Linked DNA regions of Mus musculus. Each later gene encodes a partner of the first gene's protein in a complex. Links are inferred from orthologs where the notes say so. Each region holds a gene or a part of one and is shown on either strand. Other genes may lie near its edges. The genes, in order: Ercc2 and Polr2c.

Region 1 (4,242 bases):
GACCGCCACGTGCACACACATACACACAAACATGTAAGGTTTTAAAAAACAAGTGCCTCAATTTCTCTCCAAACAAACAAAAAAACCCCAAACAGAAAACAACGATCCCTGAGTGGCCTTTCTCTGCAAGCACTTGGCTCAGCAGGGCTTTGGTTCCCTGATGTGTGTGGGTTGTGGAATACCGGCATGAACATAATGGATACTGTCAGGCAGGACGTGAGGCTGTCATGAAATTATCTTATTTTGCCTGTATATAAAAATACCCAATCCTTTGAGTAAGCTACCATTTAGATTTTGACCTGTCACAGGTCAAATGTGTGAGTCTGAGGTGCCATGTGGAATGTAAGCAGTTTCTGATCCTGGTACAGGTGCTACCCTTAGCCATAAGGATGAGCATTGGCCTAACAACTGAGCAGCAAGCCCCACTCATACTGACAACGGGTTCCCTCTGGGGCTTGCATGGAGTGGCCCAGGGTGACAGCGCAGGGCTCACCTCGGGATGAATGCACAGGTTCTTTCTTGAGCTCAGAGCCAGTCCTAAGAACGGCAGCTTCTCGCCCTCCTGCTGCTCGTAGAAGCTGAGTAGCTTACGAAGCTCTTCTATGACCTGCTCAGATGATGGGAGCATTAGGTGGGGACCACAGGGCAAGCACAAGTCCTTGCCCACCGGGCTACCGAGGGCAGAGATGGGGGACCACCAAGGCCCAGGGGAGGGGGCAGAGCATGGGTCCCATCTGCATTGCCCACCTTCTCAATCTCTGGCACGGTCCGTGAGCAGTAGATAAGTTTGGTCACCTCCAGCGGATAAGCCTGTGGGTGACAGGGACCTCAGCCCCATCCAGCCCCACCCCTCAGCCCCCACTCCAGGCACTCAGAAGGCCACTCACCCGCTGATAGGCCACAATCAGGGCCAATAGGGACACTGTCTTCCCAGTGCCCGAGGGCATCTCCAGGACTCCATGACCCTGAAAATTGGGCACAGAAGTAGTAAGACACAGGCTCTCTGTCATCAACGTACGCTCTGGGGAACTCTCCTTGACATGCCACCACCCGGGAACAGCAAGGCAACACACACAGCAGTGGCATCGCTGTCAAGGCCCCAGGACTGATAGTCTCCGCTCCTCCTCTTCTGCTGGACTTTTAATTGTTAATTCTTATTCCTCACCCGCCTACCCCAAAGGATCTTGCTATGCAGGCCTAGTAGTTACTAAGAATCTCTGGCTGGCTTTGAACTTTTGGCAATCCTGTTGCCTCTACTTTGAGTACTGGGACTGCAGGCTGAACCCTATTTCTGTGGCCCTCTTACTGACACAGCTAATGAGTTTACTGAGCAGCAGACAGTAGGAACCTTTTACCTCTCAGGATCACAGCATTCTTGCTTCTAAGTAGCTCCATAAACCTTACTTGGAACAAGGTTGTGAGGGCTAATACATTGGTGGGCCAGCAATATGGCTTAGCGGGTAAAGGTGCTTGTGGCCAAGCCTGATCACCCGAGTTCAATCCCCAAGACATACACGGAAGGAAAGAACCAACTCTACCCTCACGTGCACACTGTAGCATGTATACACACATTGGAAATAAGTATACCTAAAAGAAAACTTTTTTTAAAAAGTTTGTGTTCAGGGCTGTTGAAATAGCTCAGCAGGTAAAGGCGATTGCTATCAAACCTAACAGCCTGAATTTGATCCCTAGAACCCACATAAAATGATAAGAAATCTGGGTGGTGTTGGCCTATGCCTTTAATCACAGCACTCAGGAGGCAGAGGCAGGTGGATCTTTTGGGACTTTGAGGCCTGCCTGGTCTATGAAACAAGTTCCAGGACAGCAAAAATCACACAGAGAAACCCTGTCTCAGAAAACACAACGAGGGACTGGAGAGATGGCTGAGCAGTTAAGAGCACTGGCTGCTTGCTCTTCCAGAGGTCCTGAGTTCAAATCCCAGCAACCACATGAAGGCTCACAACCATCTGTACAGCTACAGTGTACTCACATACATAAAACAAATAAATCTACAACAAAACAAAACCGAAATAGAAGTGGAAGGAAAAACCCAACTCCACAAAGTTGTCCTCTGACCTCCACATACGGAACCCCTTCTTCCCTCCACTATTGTCACTACCAGGAATACCTCCAGAGTTTTCCTATACATAGCCCTAGCTAGCCCGAAACTCACTATGAAACCCAGACTGTACTTCAAACTCGAGCAATCTGTCCTCAGCCACCCTGTCTCTAGAATTACAGGCATAATTGTAATTACTATCAGTCAGTTTATGCGGTGCCAGGATGGAACCCAGAGTTTCACCCCTGCTAGCTAGGCTAGCACCCTACCAACTGAGCGACATTCCTCGCCTTGTTATTTACAATTGTTGTTAGTACACGGTCTCGCTGTGTAGCCCCGGCTGGCCTCCAAAATCGCAGCGATGCTCCTGCCTGGGTCTTCCGGGTGCTGGGATAGCAAGGCCCGGGCCCCGACCAGGACGTTTGCCTGCCAGAGGCATCAGAATGCAAGGAGGGCAGCCTCGCCACCCACCTTGGCGTCCAGCGTGCGCTTGAGCTCCAGCATGTAGGAGAACTGCTCCGGGTAGATGTAGTCGTACGGGAAGTAGACCAGCAGCCCGTCCACGTTGAGCCTGGCGGCGGTGAGGCGTCGGTGCCCGGTGCTCTCGAGCCGCCTCGGCCTCCGCTCCGCCCGCCCGCCCGCCCTCGTGGCGTCTCGCCGCCAGGGACCCCGAAGCCACCCGGACCGGTCTCCGCAGCCTCTCCACGCCGCGCCCCAGCCCCGGCGACGCCCACCCGCCGCCCCATTGCCCACCGCAGAGCCGCCCGCTCTTTCAGAGACCCCATCTCACTTCATGGCGGCTGATCGCGGCGTCCACACGCCCGCTCCTGAATATTCAACGAGGGGGCGTGACCCAGAGACACACCTTCCTCGGGACGCCATTGGCCGAGTCCTCCCGTCACTCTGCCAATCGGAAAATTGGCGCGTGCGCATGGCGGTGAGAGGGCGGACTTCGGAGAGAAGTGGTGCCCGAGGCATCGCTGAGGATCGCCGAGGACTTCGAGCAGAACACAGAAAGAAGAGAGTCGAGAGAATCGATAGAGTTCATTGCTGCTTCGCTCCTCCAGGTTCTGTTCTGGTTGTCCAAGTCGTGAAAATAGTGTTTAAGAGAGAATAACAGAGAAATTGGAGACCGTCTTGATTTTTTTGTTTTTCGGGTGTTTTTTTTTGTTTTTTTGTTTGTTTTTTCGAGACAAGGTTTCTCTGTGTAGCCCTGGCTGTCCTGGAACTCACTCTGTAGTACAGGCTGGCCTCGAACTCAGAAATCCACCTGCCTCTGCTTCCCACCACTGCCCTGCCTAGCACGTGTTTTTAAGCATTTATTAATATGGGTTGGAAAGATGGCTCAGACGTTAAAGCATAGGTCACAAACAAACAAAACTTCATTAATTAAGGGCCTGGAGGAATCACTCAGTAGTTAAAAGCACTTTCTGATTTTGAAGAGGAGCAGGGTTCCCAGCCGCCCCACTCTCCACTCCCACCCCCCAAATCAGGCAGCTTATGATCGATCACCTTTAGGGCTAGCTCCATGGAATCCAATACCTCTGGCCTGTGGAAGGAAGAGGAAACCTGCAGAATTTGGTTCAGTCCTTTCCTTCCACTATGTGTGGGAATCGAACTCAGGTCAAAAGGCCTGTACCTCATGAGCCATCTCATGAGGTACAGGCCTCAGTAGACAGTCGTACTATGTAACCCAAGCTGGTCCGGAGCTCACTCTATAGCCTGGGTGGCTGGCCCCAGCTTGTGGCTAACCCACCTGAGGGCTGGACAATGCTGTCAGTTATTTCATATCTCTGGATTCTTGCTCAAATATCACCTTTTAGTCCTTCCTCCCTTCATTTCATCCTTTCTTTTCTTTCTTTTTTTTTTTAAGATTTATTTGTTATATATAAGTACATTGTAGCTGTTTTCAGATATACCAGAAGGGGGTATCCAATCTCATTACTGATGGTTGTGAGCCACCATGTGGTTGCTGGGATTTGAATTCAGGACCTTTGGAAGAGCAGTCAGTGCTCTTAATCACTGAGCTCCAGTCCCTTTTCTTTTTGAGAGAGTCTTTCTACTTAGTTCTGACACTGTCCTAGATCTCACACTATAAACAAGGTTGGCCTTGAACTCACAGAGACCTGCCTGCCTCTGCCTCCGGAGTGAGTGCTGAGATTAAAGGTGCATACCATAATGTC
Region 2 (4,522 bases), on another chromosome or scaffold:
TCTTTTCTCTGTGTGAACAGCTGCCACTTTTTAGAGGCCCATTTAAACTCCTCAGCTGCAACTACACAGATCTGTAGAAGTGGAGAGCATTGTATCTACTTCAGAAGAACATCACACGATCAAGAGTAGAAGGGAAAGTGTGTATCGTCTAACACATATGGACATTGTTGAGTATACGTTGGGGACCTTTGAGGTGGCTCAGTGGGTAAGAGCACTTGCAGTCAGGCCTGGCATCCTTCCACACACGTGATGTATTGGTACCATTACATACATACACATATAAAATAGAAATACATTTAAAAAAAAATTTTAAAAAAAGCCAGGCGTGGTGGCACACACCTTTAATCCCAGCACTTGGGAGGCAGAGGCAGAGGCAGGCGGATTTCTGAGTTCGAGGCCAGCCTGGTCTACAAAGTGAGTTCCAGGACAGCCAGAGCTATACAGAGAAACCCTGTCTTGAAAAACAAAAACAAAAACAAACAAACAAAAAAACATGGGTTTTGTTTTTCTTGTGTATGCATTACAGTACTCTCTCTGACATTAGCTCGGATGTGGGTCTCTTGTTTGCTTCTTTGTGTGTTATCTAACTGTCCTGAGAGCATCCAGGGGATTCTTCTCTCCATCTTCCTACTCACAGGAGCCTAAGATTAGACTCTTGCATTACCATGCCTCTTTACAGGTGTTCTGAGAATTTGACCTTGTGTCCTTGCACATCAGGGTTTGGCTTCGCACCCTGGAACAAGTGACTGAGGTGCATATTTTACCCGTCAAAGCAGACCTGGCCTCCAGGTTCTCCCAGCATCCTTCAGTCCCCACCTGGCATGCTCTGCCTCCACCCTGAACTTTCCAGCCCAGAGGCTGGGCTGCCCTTCCCCAAGAGGTTCTTCCCTATAGAATCCAGACATTTTGCTCTTGCTCTCTGGATCGATCTATCTCCCTCCCCCTGCCCCAGGCCCTTTCTCTTCTCCCTCTCTGCCCTTCCCATGGCGGTTCCCCGGCCTCTGTTCTTAAGGCCAGTGAACTCACCTGAGAGCAGCTTCCCAATAAACCTGCCTTTTAATATATTCTAATCTGTCTTGAATTGGCTCATTTTACCAGCAGAGAAATAACCTATCAGTCGTCTTGCATGCTTGAGTCACCTCCCTAGCCATTTTGTTCATGTATAGATGTACAACTTTTTAATGGTTTTTTTTAAGGTTTCATTGTATTCCTATGTATTTTAAAAATTATTTTTATGTATAAGGATGTTTTGCTTGCATGTATATTTGTGCACCATGTGAATACCTGGTGCCCTCAGATACCAGGAGAGAGTTTCCTCAGAAACTGAAGCTAAAGATGTTAGGCATCATATGGGTGCTGGGAATACAATCCAAGTCTTACATAAGAACAGCCAGTGCTCTTATCCCCAATGCCGTATCTCCAGCCCCGTATGTAAGTTTAACCAAGTCTCTATCGATCATTGCCTAATGCGTTATTTTTAGCAGTTATAAATAACGTTGGCATGAATGACCCTGTACATTTAATTTTTGTGCTGTATATCTTGGGGATTTCAAGAGTATAGGACCAATGCATTTTGGCGCCGGTGTGGTTAGAAAACACAGGCCAGGAGAGTTCCGGCCTCCGGTCAGCAGGTGGCGCTGCGCCCGCGACTAGCCGGAAGCGCCGATTGCCCCGCCGACAAACTGCTGGTGGCCGCGCAGGCGCGCTGTGCGGCTGGCGCGGGAGCCTGGCGGAGGGTCGCGATGCCGTACGCCAACCAGCCAACAGTGCGGATCACGGAACTCACCGAAGAGAACGTCAAGTTCATTATCGAGAACACGGACCTGGCGTAAGGCGGCGAGGGGAGAGGCGGGCGGGCGGCCGGGTCCTCGAGCTCCTGACCCCGGGGCTGTGGCTTCGGGGCCGCTCACACCGCCTGTCTTTCCTCCTGTAGGGTGGCCAATTCCATTCGGAGGGTCTTCATCGCAGAGGTGCCCATAATAGGTAAGCGACCGTCCCTGGGAGCCCGTGCCGCCCACCCTCCGCCCGGGGTGGGGGCTGAGAACACTGCGGTGCTGTACGCTGGGCTGGGGCAGCCTAGGCCCGCCTTGGTGCGTGCCTTGCTCAGCTGCGGGTTTCCCAGTACTGTTCGTCTACCCCAAAGCAACAGAAATCAAAACCAAGCACTGTTAAACAGCGGAGGGCTGCAGCCTCCTCATCCGGGCGGTGTAGATGCTAGGCGTCGTTAGCAGGTGATGCAGCGATTGCCGAAGTAGTGTAGATGATGCGCTTTTGCTTTGACGTCAGTGTTCGCTACTGGCTGGTGTCTTTTGAACATATATGCTGATTTTACAAAATCATGGGCTTCGTTATGTAGTTTGAAATCTACACACACAGAGTGTACCTGGTCTCTCCCATCCTTCCAGATAGTACCCTGCTATACTTTCTTGTCGTCTCCCCCTATCTTTTTGAAAACCTTTATTTACATATATGTGTCTATCTCTGGGCTCGAGTACCGGAGTTCATGTGTAGAGGTCAGAGTACAGCTTGTAGGAGGGATTCTCTTCTCCCACCATATGGGGCCCAGGATTGAACTCCTTAAGGCTTGACAACAAAAAGTATCTTGCACATCTTGCAGGCTCCGAACTTTCTCTTTATTAAAGAGAGAAAGAGAAAAAGAGAGAGATTCCACATGAGAGAAAGCATGTGTTATAAAGATTTTCTAATTTTGTTTGTTTGTTTGTTTTTCAAGACAGGGTTTCTCTGTGTAGCCCTGGCTGTCCTGGAACTCACTTTGTAGACCAGGCTGGCCTGGAACTCAGAAATCTGCCTGCCTCTGCCTCTGCCTCCCAAGAGCTGGGATTAAAGGCGTGCACCACCACTGCCCGGCTTAAGATTTTCTTTAACAAACAACATACTTTTGTTCCTTATTGTTGAAGTGTGTGTGTGTGTGTGTGTGTGTGTGTGAGAGAGAGACAGACAGACAGACAGACTTCGGTTTTTTGTTTTTTTAAATCCATCCTGGTGTCTTTTTAAAAATGAATTTCTTATTTCTGCTGCATATGTAAATCATGTACGTTTTCAGTTAGAGACAAGACATGAGCAAACATAACAAGGCAAAATATGACACCTTCAGGAGAATCTGACCAGTTTTATCGTTTGTTTGTTTGTTTGTTTTGAGAGAGGAAGGAGGCCAAAAGGGAGTGGAGCGTTTGTAAACATGGACACTCGAGGTTTTCTGAGATGGGGAATTCCCACCAGGGGTCGGGGAATGGGAATGGTGGAAGTAGATTAAGGGCATTCAATGGGCCCCAGAAGTAAATCATCAGGAAGCTTGGTCCTTGCTTGAGTTGAGGAAGCACTGCGGTGAAGGGCAGGTTGGGCCTATCCTCAGCTGGTCTTCCGGCCTCTTCCTGGCCTACATCAGCTCCTTGAGAACTGGGTTTCCAACACCACTGATTTCTGAACATTATTGTTTACATGCAGGTGTTTGCTGATGGGTGACTAGACACATGCTTAAGTGCAGCATCTGTATGCTACAGCCCCATTTGCCCAGCAGTGCCTGGGGGGGGATTGGGTTCTATTGTTAGTGGGCTTTCCCTGGTGAAGCTGTCCAGTGAACATCTACTGATGAGAGGAACACTGAAATTCCAAGTGGGCTATCTGGTTATATCACAAACGAGGTGTGGGCCCTGAAACTTGGGATGTTTTGCTGTTGTGATGTTTTCCCTGACTTTTAAGTTTTTAAAATTGTGTCTCTGTGTGTGGGTGTTTACCAGTGAATGCAGGGGCTGGAGGTGGCCAGGGGTCTCAGATGCCCCTGGAGTTGGAGTTACAGGGGTTGTGAGCTGCCTGACATGGGTGCCAGGAACCTCAGAACTGCGGAGCCATCCCTCCAGCCCATGGTGTCCAGATAGCTTTCGTTCTTGGGTTTGGGATTGGCACAGGTAGCAGATTTAAAGTAATCCTTAGATAAGTATTCAACTCCTTAAATATCCCAAAAAGCTCTAAGAGAGAGTATGTGCATGCATGTGTGGTGTATCACTAGCAAGGCCCATCCCCCACTGGGGCAGGAAGGTGTTATGTATGGCGTGTGGGATGCCTGAACCTGGAGCCATCACTTTGAAGTCACTTTGAGCCTCTTGCAGCCTGGTCAGGACACCTTCAACTTTGTAAGCTGAATTGATGCTTGCTTGCTTGCTTGCTTGCTTTTTTTTTTTTTTTTTTTTTTTTAATTTTTGTTTTTGTTTGGTTGGGTTTTGTTTGTTTGTTTTGTTTTTTGAGACAATGTTTCTCTGTGTAGCCCTGGCTGTCCTGGAACTCACTTTGTAGACCAGGCGCTGGCTCTGCTCCCTGAGCGCCGGGCAGAGTGGAGACAGTGCTGCTGCAGGTCTGTAGATGTGTCTGGTGACTAGTCCTCACTTACCCTGTTTTGTTGCTGCCTTTTCCAGCCATCGACTGGGTTCAGATTGACGCCAACTCCTCGGTCCTTCATGATGAATTCATCGCGCACAGGCTTGGTGAGTGCTGGTGTTGAGGTGGA

What was found.
Region 2: Ercc2 (region 1) and Polr2c share a complex: the UniProt entries of both Homo sapiens proteins name them as parts of the TBP-based Pol II pre-initiation complex. The link is inferred for Mus musculus from reciprocal best matches to the Homo sapiens genes ERCC2 and POLR2C.

Annotation. Positions count from the first base shown.
Region 1 is NC_000073.6:19,380,667-19,384,908, reverse strand, and holds the start of Ercc2 (general transcription and DNA repair factor IIH helicase subunit XPD), read right to left. Parts: upstream 2,893-4,242; 5' UTR 2,855-2,892; coding exon 2,850-2,854; intron 2,631-2,849; coding exon 2,531-2,630; intron 966-2,530; coding exon 888-965; intron 811-887; coding exon 748-810; intron 608-747; coding exon 494-607; intron 1-493. UniProt on the Homo sapiens protein: ATP-dependent 5'-3' DNA helicase. Component of the general transcription and DNA repair factor IIH (TFIIH) core complex, not absolutely essential for minimal transcription in vitro.
Region 2 is NC_000074.6:94,855,814-94,860,335, forward strand, and holds the start of Polr2c (DNA-directed RNA polymerase II subunit RPB3), read left to right. Parts: upstream 1-1,636; 5' UTR 1,637-1,742; coding exon 1,743-1,828; intron 1,829-1,933; coding exon 1,934-1,983; intron 1,984-4,430; coding exon 4,431-4,499; intron 4,500-4,522. UniProt on the Homo sapiens protein: Core component of RNA polymerase II (Pol II), a DNA-dependent RNA polymerase which synthesizes mRNA precursors and many functional non-coding RNAs using the four ribonucleoside triphosphates as substrates.